Saccharomyces cerevisiae S288C: one gene and its partners. Changing the gene in region 3 together with the main gene of any one other region gives a genetic interaction. Each region holds a gene or a part of one and is shown on either strand. Other genes may lie near its edges.

Region 1 (3,538 bases), on a different chromosome or scaffold from region 3:
ACGGATCTAACACACAAGCTATGATTGATAATATGCGCGGAAAGTCAAGAAGTAAAAAAACTGAGAACCTGCACCAATCTTTAACTGGCTGCCTTAACGACTACTCAAATGCGTTTGGAAAAGACAGGTCAAAGTTATTAGACTTATCCAACACGCTAAAGAAATATCCCATGTTGGGTCTTGCTGGGGGACTAGAAACGTTTCCCAAGATAGTCAGAAATGCTTTGAACGAATTTAAAAACGTCAAAATAGTTACTGGGAACCCGGTTACGCAAATAATGAAACGCCCTGCTAACGAAACGACAATCGGATTGAAAGCGAAATCTGGCGACCAATACGAAACATTTGACCATTTAAGACTTACGATAACACCTCCCAAAATCGCTAAATTGCTACCGAAGGATCAAAATTCATTATCCAAGTTATTAGATGAGATACAATCAAACACAATAATTTTAGTTAATTATTATTTGCCAAACAAAGATGTAATAGATGCCGATCTACAAGGCTTTGGATACTTGGTTCCCAAATCCAATAAGAATCCAGGGAAATTGCTTGGTGTAATTTTCGATTCTGTTATCGAAAGGAATTTCAAACCACTTTTTGACAAACTCTCCACAAACCCAAACGCCCTCAACAAATATACAAAAGTGACTGCGATGATAGGAGGTTGTATGCTCAATGAACACGGTGTTCCTGTAGTGCCATCCAGGGAGGTAACCATTAATGCAGTCAAAGATGCGCTGAACAACCACCTCGGCATCAGTAACAAGGATCTGGAAGCTGGTCAGTGGGAATTCACTATCGCCGATAGATGTCTGCCAAGATTTCATGTAGGTTATGACGCATGGCAAGAAAGAGCTGAAAGGAAGTTGCAAGAATCTTACGGCCAAACAGTTTCTGTGGGGGGAATGGGATTTTCTAGAAGTCCCGGTGTCCCTGACGTTATTGTAGACGGCTTTAACGACGCCTTACAGCTAAGCAAATAAGTACGTATATATATGGTTAGCTTTACGCAAACTACTTCTTTTGACAATTGAGGCAGTTATCAGCTAATAAGAAAAAGTAGTTAGTATCAAAAGACACAATTTATTTATATTAACCAAATTTTTCAGAACATCCTCCGGACCGTCAGTCTTTAACGCCGAGCCGCCGATGATGGGTTGGAGTCAAAACGAGGGAACTCAATATTAATTGCGGAGTTGAGCGATGATGGGTTGGAACTATATAAAGCATCGGAAACGCATGGCTAAGGGAAGTGGAAGAATGCAGGTTACAAAAAACGGATAAGAACAAACTTGTTTCGAAATATGGCCGCTCCAGATTATGCACTTACCGATTTAATTGAATCGGATCCTCGTTTCGAAAGTTTGAAGACAAGATTAGCCGGTTACACCAAAGGCTCTGATGAATATATTGAAGAGCTATACTCTCAATTACCACTGACCAGCTATCCCAGGTACAAAACATTTTTAAAGAAACAGGCGGTTGCCATTTCGAATCCGGATAATGAAGCTGGTTTTAGCTCGATTTATAGGAGTTCTCTTTCTTCTGAAAATCTAGTGAGCTGTGTGGATAAAAACTTAAGAACTGCATACGATCACTTCATGTTTTCTGCAAGGAGATGGCCTCAACGTGACTGTTTAGGTTCAAGGCCAATTGATAAAGCCACAGGCACCTGGGAGGAAACATTCCGTTTCGAGTCGTACTCCACGGTATCTAAAAGATGTCATAATATCGGAAGTGGTATATTGTCTTTGGTAAACACGAAAAGGAAACGTCCTTTGGAAGCCAATGATTTTGTTGTTGCTATCTTATCACACAACAACCCTGAATGGATCCTAACAGATTTGGCCTGTCAGGCCTATTCTCTAACTAACACGGCTTTGTACGAAACATTAGGTCCAAACACCTCCGAGTACATATTGAATTTAACCGAGGCCCCCATTCTGATTTTTGCAAAATCAAATATGTATCATGTATTGAAGATGGTGCCTGATATGAAATTTGTTAATACTTTGGTTTGTATGGATGAATTAACTCATGACGAGCTCCGTATGCTAAATGAATCGTTGCTACCCGTTAAGTGCAACTCTCTCAATGAAAAAATCACATTTTTTTCATTGGAGCAGGTAGAACAAGTTGGTTGCTTTAACAAAATTCCTGCAATTCCACCTACCCCAGATTCCTTGTATACTATTTCGTTTACTTCTGGTACTACAGGTTTACCTAAAGGTGTGGAAATGTCTCACAGAAACATTGCGTCTGGGATAGCATTTGCTTTTTCTACCTTCAGAATACCGCCAGATAAAAGAAACCAACAGTTATATGATATGTGTTTTTTGCCATTGGCTCATATTTTTGAAAGAATGGTTATTGCGTATGATCTAGCCATCGGGTTTGGAATAGGCTTCTTACATAAACCAGACCCAACTGTATTGGTAGAGGATTTGAAGATTTTGAAACCTTACGCGGTTGCCCTGGTTCCTAGAATATTAACACGGTTTGAAGCCGGTATAAAAAACGCTTTGGATAAATCGACTGTCCAGAGGAACGTAGCAAATACTATATTGGATTCTAAATCGGCCAGATTTACCGCAAGAGGTGGTCCAGATAAATCGATTATGAATTTTCTAGTTTATCATCGCGTATTGATTGATAAAATCAGAGACTCTTTAGGTTTGTCCAATAACTCGTTTATAATTACCGGATCAGCTCCCATATCTAAAGATACCTTACTATTTTTAAGAAGTGCCTTGGATATTGGTATAAGACAGGGCTACGGCTTAACTGAAACTTTTGCTGGTGTCTGTTTAAGCGAACCGTTTGAAAAAGATGTCGGATCTTGTGGTGCCATAGGTATTTCTGCAGAATGTAGATTGAAGTCTGTTCCAGAAATGGGTTACCATGCCGACAAGGATTTAAAAGGTGAACTGCAAATTCGTGGCCCACAGGTTTTTGAAAGATATTTTAAAAATCCGAATGAAACTTCAAAAGCCGTTGACCAAGATGGTTGGTTTTCCACGGGAGATGTTGCATTTATCGATGGAAAAGGTCGCATCAGCGTCATTGATCGAGTCAAGAACTTTTTCAAGCTAGCACATGGTGAATATATTGCTCCAGAGAAAATCGAAAATATTTATTTATCATCATGCCCCTATATCACGCAAATATTTGTCTTTGGAGATCCTTTAAAGACATTTTTAGTTGGCATCGTTGGTGTTGATGTTGATGCAGCGCAACCGATTTTAGCTGCAAAGCACCCAGAGGTGAAAACGTGGACTAAGGAAGTGCTAGTAGAAAACTTAAATCGTAATAAAAAGCTAAGGAAGGAATTTTTAAACAAAATTAATAAATGCACCGATGGGCTACAAGGATTCGAAAAATTGCATAACATCAAAGTCGGACTTGAGCCTTTAACTCTCGAGGATGATGTTGTGACGCCAACTTTTAAAATAAAGCGTGCCAAAGCATCAAAATTCTTCAAAGATACATTAGACCAACTATACGCCGAAGGTTCACTAGTCAAGACAGAAAA
Region 2 (4,080 bases), on a different chromosome or scaffold from region 3:
AATGAGCCAAGGAGTTAATGCAAAAGGTAGCTTGTTGAATGACAAAGACACGAATAAAACCGGCATAGATCAAACCACCCATATAGTCGTTGAAAAAGTAACCACAGATAAGAGTTGGAATGACGAAAGCGGTTAACAACATCAACAAGATGTAGTGTCTGTGTTGGAATCTAATGGTCCAATCATCAGTCATATCGGTAATATCAGCTCTAGCCTTGTATTTTGGATTTGGCTTCAAAAGCATCCATCCCATGTGGGAGTACCATAGACCTCTACGAGCGTCATAAGGATCTCTCAAGGTATCAGTGTAACGATGGTGAATTCTGTGAGAGTGGCCCCACCATTTAGCGGACCCTTCAACGGAAGCACAACCGAAGATAGCGTAGAATAATCTCAATGGCCAGTGAGCGGAGTAAGATCTGTGAGACCATAATCTATGGTAACCGGCAGTAATAGAAACACCACCGACAGCGTAGTAGAAAACGGAGAAAAGGAAAACGTTTAAATGCAAAGGCACTTTACCAGAGAGAGCAAAGTACCAACCAATCATTGGCATACCACAAACAAGAACCATGTTCAACCAGTTCAAATGTTGGTGCCAGTTATTCAAAGTCCATGGTTGTTCGGAGATGTGAATTTTAGTTTTAGCTTCTTCTTTTTCTTGGTTGTCCTTTTCTAGCAGACGATCCAAATTGGACTTCTTTTCGTTTCCCTTCTTGTCGAATTCCACGGAAACCATTTCCTTGGAGCCCATTAAAGAACCAAAACCGTTGACAATTCTTGGTGCTTTCTTATTCAAACCAGTAGCCAAAATATTAGCTTCCGTTAAGTCGACTTCGTCGACAATGCCACTGCTGGCAGAGTCATCCTTTGGAAATTGGTCGTCAATCAATTCAATAGTAGTTCCAGAAGTTGGCATCTTTGTTGTAATGTTTTAGTGCTGTTTATAATATGATCACCACAACTATCTATTACTATGATGTTCTATTCTACGTAATACAAAATATAAACGGAAACAGAAGTAGGAAAGATGGAAATAGAACAATAAATGAATCAAGATCTGCCCCCATATATATATGTATATGCTGATTTGCAAGACTCGATGAGCCAGGAGCCGATGATTTGCTGCATATATTGTTAACTACTATTATTTCCACCTTTGTGTGCCATCCCCATAGCCGTAACAATAGGGATAGGTGTGTCTGAGTGAGCAAGACTCGTAGAAGCACACCTGGTTGGGCACTAGATAAGGTTTGTTGAGTGTTCAACGTCCGAAAGAAAGCTGCCGACTATGCGAAGAGAACCTTAAGCCGTTATTACCTCTGCCTGTCACAGGCGATGTGATGCTAACGAACAGCACCAGAGCCAAGCCAACTGGGGCGGTCTGCAGAGAAGGCTGGGATACCCGAAATAGCTCGCTCAACAGCTTTTTTTCTTCTACGGAAGCCCACCAGATAAGCGCCTTTGTTGGGCCCGCTAACCCCGGGACATGCCCGGGCTCGGAGTTAGTTTTTGGCCACCGGGCGCCCGAAAAATGCTTCAGAAAAGAGCCATAGTCACGGAGAATCTTGACGTGCATAATGATTAGATATGACACCCTCATTCTCATTTGGATTTATTATCACGTGATGGTATAACCCGGACTGGAACTACATATCCGCTAATCCTTGACTTATTTCCATGTGTCATTTATTTTTTTTTTTTTTTTTTTTCCTTTTTTTTTTCCGCCCGGCAAATGAAATGAAAAATGGGTGATGGAGAAACCATGAGGTTTTTGAGAAATTTCACAGATGACTATAAACTTAGCGATATCATCTCGTACAGAAAAGTAACCAAACCTGCAAACGAAAAGCTTACTTTTGTTAAAAGCGTATCAAGCTAGCGATACGAATACCTCAGAACATCATCTTTTCAGCAAGACCCACCCAATGCCTCAAAATACAAGACACACGTCCATCGTAGAAATGCTTTCTACCCCACCTCAATTACCGAATTCCACAGATTTAAATAGTTTGAGCGAACAGACAGACAAGAACACTGAAGCAAACAAAAGCGACACAGAATCACTACATAAATCTATTTCGAAATCGTCATCTTCATCTTCTCTCTCCACGCTGGATAACACGGAATACTCAAACAATAATGGCAACTCCTTGTCCACCTTGAATTCACAGAATCTGTTATCTGTTCATAGGCAGGAGTGGCAACACACTCCTCTGTCAAATTTGGTGGAACAGAACAAATTGATTTTCATCAGAGGTTCTATTTCCGTAGAGGAAGCATTCAACACGCTGGTCAAGCACCAGCTAACGTCTTTGCCTGTGGAGAATTTTCCGGGAGACATGAATTGTTTAACATTCGACTATAATGATCTCAATGCGTACCTTCTTCTTGTATTAAACAGGATCAAGGTGAGCAACGACAAGATAACCTCAGACTGCCAGAATGGTAAGTCCGTGCCCGTGGGCGAGATAGTAAAGTTGACACCTAAGAATCCATTCTACAAATTGCCCGAAACGGAAAACTTATCGACGGTAATAGGCATACTAGGCTCAGGTGTGCATCGTGTTGCCATCACGAACGTGGAAATGACACAGATTAAAGGTATACTTTCCCAACGTCGATTGATTAAGTATCTGTGGGAGAATGCGAGATCATTTCCCAACTTGAAGCCTCTCTTGGACTCTTCCCTGGAGGAGCTGAATATTGGTGTACTAAATGCAGCCCGTGATAAACCTACATTCAAGCAGTCACGTGTCATATCCATCCAAGGTGACGAGCATCTAATTATGGCTCTGCATAAAATGTATGTCGAAAGAATCTCTTCCATTGCGGTAGTTGACCCGCAGGGAAACTTGATTGGTAATATTTCAGTAACAGACGTCAAACACGTCACCAGAACTTCACAATATCCTTTATTACACAATACATGTCGTCATTTTGTCTCGGTTATTTTGAATTTAAGGGGCCTAGAGACCGGTAAGGACTCATTTCCTATTTTCCATGTGTATCCAACAAGTTCCCTGGCAAGAACGTTTGCCAAATTGGTCGCTACCAAATCTCACAGATTATGGATAGTACAACCAAATGACAATCAACCAACAGCATCTTCCGAAAAATCCTCATCTCCATCACCAAGTACTCCACCCGTAACGACATTGCCATCGCTTGCGTCGTCATACCATTCGAACACGCAATCTTCCAGGATGGCCAACTCTCCTGTTCTAAAATCTTCAGATACATCAAACAATAAAATAAATGTAAATATAAATTTGAGTGGTCCCTCACCTTCTCAACCACAGTCTCCATCGGCCACAATGCCACCACCTCAAAGTCCAAGTAATTGTCCCGCATCTCCAACTCCAGCACATTTCGAAAAGGAGTATAGAACAGGTAAATTGATAGGTGTTGTGTCATTGACTGACATATTAAGTGTTTTGGCAAGAAAACAAACGCATCATAAGGAAATTGATCCGCAGATGGCAAGAAAGCAAAGAGGGCATATAGGCTGAAACAAACCAGACGAAAAAAACTGGCTTCATTTAACTACATATACATATATAAGGGTTTTTCTGATTTTTATTTTATCCCAATAAAGTTTGATTTTTTTTTTTTTACTTTTATTATGCACTGGGGCGAGGTTTTTAGGCCCTTTCTTTTCTTAGAGGAAATATATACACATGTTCTCGCTAAAATCAGTTAAAAGGTCCGATTGAGATGGTACTGTCAAATGTTAAAATCTTCAGATTAAAATCGCATAGAGCCTTCAGAATCGGTCCCATGATTAAAGCAGTCGCAGGAAATCTTTTGGTAAAGAGATTTTATCAACCAAAATTAGAAAGAATTCCACCGGCTTCACTGCTTTTGAAGCAGAAAATACGGTTAGCTCAAAATGGCAGTACTACATCTACAGAAAACCCCATTTCCTTCTCACAGACCATGTCCGAGATATTTAGCGTCTTGCAGCCAAGTGCACCAGATCTAGATGAAGACGAAACAAGTGGTTTGAAACGCGATCATTTATTAACTGAGCGTCTAAACAACGGCGAGCTTGGTGTCATTATGAACAAATTCTTCAAT
Region 3 (5,314 bases):
TGGTAAAAGTTTACACCATCAAAAATTACCCCGCGAAGACTACGCAAATAAGGTTATACAAGTTAGTTGAGATGAAATAATCATCTCCACGTTCACGATTTAAGGCTAAATTGGAATGCGGCTAAAAAAGAGCGCAGTTACAAGAAAAAGCTACTATTTTATTATGCACGTGTGATAGCATTATCTTCAAGAATAAGCTCAAAAAAGAAAATGAGCTTAAAAAACCGCCTTTCCAGATAATTGAATGTAGCATATACCTATACATGCTTACCATGCCAAAAATATAACGGAACCACTACACATATCGGACCGTATTTTTATGGTTTATCAGTAAGGCCAACCATAAACACCTCAATGTTGGGGAGTCTGTCCTCGGCAATCAATGACGATGCCATTTCACCCTCATTCGAGTACTCGCTAACGTAAGAAAAAGGCACCCCGCAATGGGGTAGATCATACCCTAAAATGTTTCCTAGGTAGAAATAATAGTTACTAGGTAGGACGAAGGCAAGTACTACATAGCAGTACGGTTTCTGAGTCAGTAGTAACCCCTCAAACTTGCTCACACTTATCTTACCAAAAAATGGAGACGGACAATCAAATCTGAATTAAAAACACCGTCGCTTAACTGAATCAGAGAGAGAAGTTGAAACCAATGGTAGGAAATCAATCTAAAATAGAACACTTTAATTCTTAATAAAAAGAGGGGAACAACTTATTTTCTCCATTTGGCCTCGGCAACTTTCAGGGGGGCTTGAACGTATATACCGATCTACGTTGGAATTGACTGCTACTTCGTTCCACTAACCCAACTCAACAAATAAGCCTTGGAACCGCTGCAAGATTAGTCTATGTGACCGTGCCTTTTTTGCACTTTTAGAGAAACAGTGTTAAGAACTGTAATAACTGTTCAATTCTAAGCACTCAAACCGTGCTTGTACATATGCTTCAATGGCCTGCTCGATAGACCGATCACGTTTAATTTTTCTTTAATTTTGCCAAGGGAACGTTCTTTTCGTAGGCACCGCAATTTATTTCTAATGGATAAGTTCTGAATTTTGCTATGAATTAGTTAGTAGGGCCTACTAAAATGGCGTGGTATTTTTAAAGGGCCTTTACCAGCCACTCCTCAACAGAAAACCGTGCTCGCGTTGCAGAAATACGAGGTAGACACGCGCCTTAGGAACATAAAAATAAATATCTCGCGCTCACGGAAGGCAACCACTAACTCCTTTTCATCGAAAAGTGAGGTGTAGCTTACTAAAGCATTCCTCTTTATCCAAGTCGTATATTTTTCTTTATACTGCTAGTTCATTCTGAGCGGAGATTCCTGGCTAACTCTCCAATTGGAAATAAGGTAATAATGACTTTTCATGACGAATTGGGTGAAAATGCTTGGTGCTAGGCCCTGTGTTGTGGCTTTTTTCGGTAATAGTTTAATTTTCCAAAAAGGTTCCTGTGACTATCTTATCAAAGTAGCTTAGACCACGTCCTGCACGGTTTTGCAGACTGCTTAGGGGGTCTCTTGTTGTTATTAGCAGCGGAATATCTTTGTTTACTCATTAAAATGCCCCCCCGTTCGTTGCAAGGAACGCGCGCGCACAGAACTTGCGGATGCTTCCGCAGAAGTGCCCGTAGGAGATTTAAGCTAGCCCAGCGGTTAATCTACGCAGTTGCGTATTCGGAGTCCGCTCACACTTGCAAAAAGCATATAAAAAGCTTCATATTCATCTCATTAGTATCGGTTCTGCCATCCCATTATCTTAGGTTTATGCCTTTTCTGGTTCTCAAGTCAGTAACAACAAATACCCATCGTTGATTCTTTTTGGTAAGATCTCGCCTGTCAAAGAGATGTTCAATCGCTTTAATAAACTTCAAGCCGCTTTGGCTTTGGTCCTTTACTCCCAAAGTGCATTGGGCCAATATTATACCAACAGTTCCTCAATCGCTAGTAACAGCTCCACCGCCGTTTCGTCAACTTCATCAGGTTCCGTTTCCATCAGTAGTTCTATTGAGTTGACCTCATCTACTTCTGATGTCTCGAGCTCTCTCACTGAGTTAACGTCATCCTCCACCGAAGTCTCGAGCTCCATTGCTCCATCAACCTCGTCCTCTGAAGTCTCGAGCTCTATTACTTCATCAGGCTCTTCAGTCTCCGGCTCATCTTCTATTACTTCATCAGGCTCATCAGTCTCCAGTTCATCTTCTGCCACTGAATCAGGCTCATCCGCCTCCGGTTCATCCTCCGCCACTGAATCGGGCTCATCAGTCTCCGGTTCATCTACTTCCATTACATCAGGCTCATCCTCCGCCACTGAATCGGGCTCATCAGTCTCCGGTTCAACTTCTGCCACTGAATCAGGCTCATCCGCCTCCGGTTCATCTTCTGCCACTGAATCAGGCTCATCCGCCTCCGGTTCATCTTCTGCCACAGAATCAGGCTCATCAGTCTCCGGTTCATCTTCTGCCACAGAATCAGGCTCATCAGTCTCCGGTTCATCTTCTGCCACAGAATCAGGCTCCGCTTCTTCGGTTCCTAGCTCATCCGGTTCTGTCACAGAATCAGGCTCATCCTCATCAGCATCTGAATCATCTATCACACAATCTGGTACCGCTTCCGGTTCATCAGCCTCCAGCACGTCCGGTTCTGTTACACAATCTGGTTCCTCCGTTTCCGGTTCATCAGCTTCTTCTGCTCCAGGTATCTCGAGTTCAATTCCTCAATCAACCTCATCGGCTTCCACTGCCTCTGGTTCTATCACCTCCGGTACCTTAAGTTCTATTACCTCTTCGGCTTCTAGTGCAACTGCAACTGCTTCCAACTCTCTTTCTTCCAGCGATGGTACTATTTATTTGCCTTCTACAACCATCAGTGGTGACATCACACTCACCGGTTCAGTCATTGCAACTGAAGCTGTCGAAGTCGCTGCAGGTGGTAAGTTGACCCTACTTGATGGTGACAAATACGTTTTCTCTGCTGATTTCATAATCCATGGTGGCGTTTTCGTAGAAAAGTCTAAGCCAACTTACCCAGGTACCGAATTCGACATTTCTGGTGAAAACTTTGATGTATCTGGTACCTTTAACGCTGAAGAGCCTGCTGCTTCTTCCGCATCTGCCTACTCCTTCACTCCAGGCTCTTTCGATAACAGTGGTGATATTTCTTTGAGTCTATCAGAGTCCACAAAGGGCGAAGTCACATTCTCTCCCTACTCTAACTCTGGTGCTTTCTCTTTCTCAAATGCTATTCTCAATGGTGGTTCCGTCTCTGGTTTGCAGCGTAGAGCTGAATCAGGTTCTGTCAACAACGGTGAGATAAATCTTGAGAATGGCAGTACCTACGTCGTTGTCGAACCAGTTTCTGGAAGTGGTACAATCAACATCATCTCTGGCAACCTTTACTTGCACTATCCAGACACCTTTACTGGCCAAACTGTTGTATTCAAGGGTGAAGGTGTTCTTGCCGTTGACCCAACCGAAACCAACACTACTCCTATCCCTGTGGTTGGATACACTGGTGAAAACCAAATCGCCATTACAGCAGATGTCACTGCTCTTTCTTACGACAGTGCTACTGGTGTTTTAACTGCAACACAAGGCAACTCACAATTCTCCTTCTCTATTGGTACTGGGTTCTCCAGTTCTGGCTTCAACGTCTCCGAAGGAACATTTGCTGGTGCCTATGCTTATTATCTAAATTACGGAGGTGTTGTTGCTTCCAGCGCTACACCCTCATCCACATCTACCACATCAGGGGCTACCAACTCTACTTCCGGTTCCACTTCATTCGGTGCTTCCGTAACTGGTTCAACCGCTTCCACTTCATTCGGTGCTTCCGTGACTGGTTCAACGGCTTCCACCTTGATTTCCGGCTCCCCATCTGTTTATACCACAACATTAACATATGCAACAACCACAAGCACAGTAGTTGTCTCCTGTTCAGAAACAACTGATTCGAACGGTAACGTCTATACCATTACCACAACCGTACCATGTTCATCTACCACCGCCACTATCACTTCTTGCGATGAGACCGGATGTCATGTAACTACGTCTACCGGTACCGTCGCCACTGAAACCGTTTCTTCCAAATCATACACCACTGTTACCGTCACCCACTGTGACAACAATGGCTGTAACACCAAGACTGTCACTTCTGAATGTCCTGAAGAAACTTCAGCAACTACTACTTCTCCAAAATCATACACTACTGTTACCGTTACTCACTGTGACGACAACGGCTGTAACACTAAGACTGTCACCTCTGAGGCCCCTGAAGCCACAACCACTACTGTTTCTCCAAAGACATACACTACCGCTACTGTTACTCAGTGCGATGACAATGGATGTAGCACCAAGACTGTCACTTCTGAAGCTCCTAAAGAAACTTCAGAAACTTCAGAAACCAGTGCTGCCCCTAAGACATACACTACTGCCACTGTTACTCAATGTGATGACAATGGTTGTAACGTCAAGATAATCACCTCTCAAATACCTGAAGCTACTTCAACCGTCACCGCAACTAGTGCTTCTCCAAAGTCATACACTACTGTCACTTCTGAGGGTTCTAAAGCAACCTCATTGACTACTGCCATTTCCAAGGCTTCTAGTGCAATTTCCACATACTCCAAATCTGCAGCTCCAATAAAGACCTCTACTGGTATCATTGTCCAGTCCGAGGGTATTGCCGCAGGTTTGAATGCCAATACTTTGAATGCATTGGTCGGTATTTTCGTTCTTGCTTTCTTTAACTAATTTTTTTAACTGAGGAATTAAAAGTTTATTCCTCTGAAACGAGATAGGTTCTTAATATGCGTTTTATATACGCTTTGTGTAAACAGTTAAGTATTTTTTTAGCTTAATATTTGGATTTTTTTTATTTTTTTTATTCTTTTTGGATGAAATGGTTCCCTCTTCTGCCAATGAAGGGGAGACTAGGTTGATGTGTACACATCGTACACATTTTAAGGACACTTATTTCACTTATTGTCCACAGTAAAATCGTTCAGGCCATAATTAAATGCGAACTTAAGAGAACCTAAAAGTACCTCCCAACTTTTATAGTGGAGCTTCCGCTCTTTGGTCAGAAAAAAATCGAGTTCTGAACACTTGGCTTTATATTACAAATTTCTCCCTTCCAAGAAAGACAAGGGGTGCTTATCGCGACATGTCTCACAATAAACTTTATTATATTTATACTTTATTTATTAATAAGAGTTTCAAATAGGATTCTTGGAGAATTTTCAAAGCGTTTTTGCGTATAAGAAACTTTTCGGTTTGGCTCTTATCAGTTTACTGCCGATCTTTCTTCCTC
Region 4 (2,799 bases), on a different chromosome or scaffold from region 3:
ATAACACCTACGGACCATATATCAATCTTTGTGCTTTGAGCCCCACACTTCATTAACACTTCTGGTGCCCGAAATCCACGAGTCCCTGCTCTATTAGCCCTTTTAATTCTACGCGTTTCATTTTTAGGATAACCCTTTGTCAGATCCACCCCATTTACATTGTTTAAGTGGACGACCTTGCCATTTTGTATGGTGACCATAGGAGGTGTTTGGTTATGTGAGTTAGGAGAATATTGATTACGCATAATGCATGGACAAAATTGTTCGTGATTCCTCATTGAATATCCACCATCATGGTTTGTATTTGCATAATTGTCGTAATCGTTTTGACTAGATATCATGCTTTTATAATCCATTTGAGCCTCGGCTAGACCAAAATCAACAAGCACTCCACGCCCCAATTCCAAATTAAATAAAAAATTTGTCGGTTTGATGTCTCTATGAATAATTCCCTTCGAATGAACAAACTTCAATGCTCTTAGTAGCTCCCAAATGTACTTCTTGATTCCCTTGATTGGTAGATCCCTGTAGAAAGTTCGGAACTCCTCGTGGGGATAGTACGGTAAAACAGCAATGACTTGATCTCGCACCCTTTTTGCATCACATAGAGGGGCTACTCTCGAAGATCCCGTCATTATGTACAGCAGGTTGAGCTCATTATAAATTCTTTGCGGTGACGAGGTAACGTATATTTTCTTCAAAGCAACATAGTTCGAACCATAATTCCAAAAATGTGATGCAAATTTTTTTGTTATTTTCCCAGTGATATCTTTGGCTTTATACACTGACGAAAATGTTCCCTCACCGATCTTGTCTATGAGTTTATATTCATTTTCTATACCCGGTAGATCATGATAGAGCTGTATCATCTCTTCTTTGATTTCTGGAGGTATATCATCGATATTCTTCGTTTTGCTTGTCATTATGATTGTTCTACTTCGAAACTGCCTCTTTCCTAAGAAAATTAGATAATAGCACAATTGTTATTGAAAATTTAAGGTAGTCTGTTACTTCCCGTTACGCCTGCTGAGCGGTTTTTTTTGTTAATGGTTCTTGCATTGATTTTAGGCGGAAATGTGAAGTGCTCTTCTACTCACTAAATTGATGCCGTTCAAGAAGACGCCCCAGGGCAAAGAAGACATAATTTAAAAGCTGACCGGGGACAAATGTTTAAGATTTATGTAGGCCTAAGGCGTTTATCGAGCTAAACGGGAAGTAATTTTACTCTATAAAATGTCATCTACACAAGCATTGCCCCATTAGATTCTTAATTATCTTCAAAACCAGGGCTACACCTTAATTTCCCAAGCTAAAAACATGCTTATATAGAGGTTTAAAAAAAAAGCGTCGTTCGTTGATAAAGTTTACGAACGTATCAGTATGATCGCGTAGGTTTCCACATACTACTTAGACTTCCTACACTGTCATGGTCATTATGTCAACAAAGGTGAGACCAACGCGTCCTGACCTGAATTTTTCTCTCTTTAAAACAGAACGCGTTCTTCATAATCCTCTCCTCAATGAAAGAATTTGGGGGGACAATATCTTGACAGAAACTGGTAAGGCTCTTGATAGTTACCGTACTTGAAGGGACACTGTGAACTGACTAAAAAACTCCGTCATGTCCAATTTATGTGTACTTTTCTTCCAGTTTTTTTTTTTAGCACAATTTTTTGCTGAGGCATCACCGTTGACATTTGAACTGAATAAAGGTCGAAAGGAGTGCTTATATACGCTAACTCCGGAAATTGACTGTACAATCTCATATTATTTTGCAGTACAGCAAGGAGAGAGCAATGACTTTGATGTTAACTACGAAATATTTGCTCCTGATGACAAAAACAAGCCAATAATCGAGAGATCTGGTGAACGTCAAGGTGAATGGTCATTTATAGGCCAACATAAGGGAGAATATGCTATCTGCTTTTATGGTGGTAAAGCACACGACAAGATTGTTGATCTGGACTTCAAGTACAATTGTGAACGCCAAGATGATATTCGAAATGAAAGACGCAAGGCGAGAAAGGCGCAGAGAAACCTGAGAGACTCTAAAACCGATCCCTTGCAAGACAGTGTGGAAAATTCTATAGACACCATAGAAAGGCAGCTCCACGTTTTGGAACGTAATATACAGTACTATAAAAGCAGAAACACCAGAAATCATCACACCGTTTGTTCAACAGAGCATAGAATTGTAATGTTTTCTATTTACGGCATATTATTAATCATCGGAATGAGCTGCGCTCAAATTGCCATACTGGAGTTCATTTTCAGAGAATCGAGAAAGCATAATGTGTAAATAGTTGTGTATTGTTCCTGCATTTTCTATCAACTTGAGAATATATGTTCTTCATATTTAATAGGGGAAAGGAATGACATACCGTATCCAAAATAGCCCTTTTGCTCATGTTAAATCTTATGTAATGACAGAGCTGAAGTGACGTTTCTATTAAAGCACATGTCACGATTTAAAAAATCCTATTTCAAAATGTAGCATTGTTTTCTTCGAGAAATTGACAAAATAATCTTTGTAAGAGTAATTTTTTCTTAGCCATTGGCATATGCACCATGCAATTTCCACCTATTTAATTACACTTGCAGTCAATCAACTCGCTTGGGGATGGTATTCCTCTTGGAGTGTTAAACTATATTTTTAGTGAAAGAAGTGATAAGCAAGTGTGCCAGAAAATACAAGGATATAACACAACTTTGAAAAAGAAAAATTGCCGATTCATCTATTAATGTATCTTGTAAAATTGTTTACAAAGAGTCAATCCGCATTACAGGCAAGATTGAACA

The links.
Region 1: mutations in HPF1 (region 3) and BUD25 together harm fitness more than expected from each alone (negative genetic interaction), as found in Saccharomyces cerevisiae (one large-scale study listed by BioGRID).
Region 2: mutations in HPF1 (region 3) and SDS23 together harm fitness more than expected from each alone (negative genetic interaction), as found in Saccharomyces cerevisiae (one large-scale study listed by BioGRID).
Region 4: mutations in HPF1 (region 3) and ERP3 together harm fitness more than expected from each alone (negative genetic interaction), as found in Saccharomyces cerevisiae (one large-scale study listed by BioGRID).

What each region holds. Positions count from the first base shown.
Region 1 is NC_001137.3:183,231-186,768, forward strand, and holds BUD25 (Bud25p), read right to left. Parts: upstream 1,471-3,538; coding exon 1,448-1,470; coding exon of another isoform or gene 1,311-1,447; intron 990-1,310; coding exon of another isoform or gene 940-989; coding exon 501-939; downstream 1-500. Other genes in the region: HEM14 (oxygen-dependent protoporphyrinogen oxidase), read left to right, coding at 1-989; medium-chain fatty acid-CoA ligase FAA2, read left to right, coding at 1,311-3,538. UniProt on the Saccharomyces cerevisiae protein: Involved in bud site selection. Required for resistance to the DNA-damaging agent methyl methanesulfonate (MMS).
Region 2 is NC_001139.9:395,467-399,546, reverse strand, and holds SDS23 (Sds23p), read left to right. Parts: upstream 1-1,928; coding exon 1,929-3,512; downstream 3,513-4,080. Other genes in the region: OLE1 (stearoyl-CoA 9-desaturase), read right to left, coding at 1-919; GEP7 (Gep7p), read left to right, coding at 3,718-4,080. UniProt on the Saccharomyces cerevisiae protein: Involved in DNA replication and cell separation during budding.
Region 3 is NC_001147.6:28,144-33,457, reverse strand, and holds HPF1 (mannoprotein), read left to right. Parts: upstream 1-1,851; coding exon 1,852-4,755; downstream 4,756-5,314. UniProt on the Saccharomyces cerevisiae protein: Involved in cell wall organization and biosynthesis.
Region 4 is NC_001136.10:422,333-425,131, reverse strand, and holds ERP3 (Erp3p), read left to right. Parts: upstream 1-1,621; coding exon 1,622-2,299; downstream 2,300-2,799. Other genes in the region: serine/threonine protein kinase CDC7, read right to left, coding at 1-923. UniProt on the Saccharomyces cerevisiae protein: Involved in vesicular protein trafficking.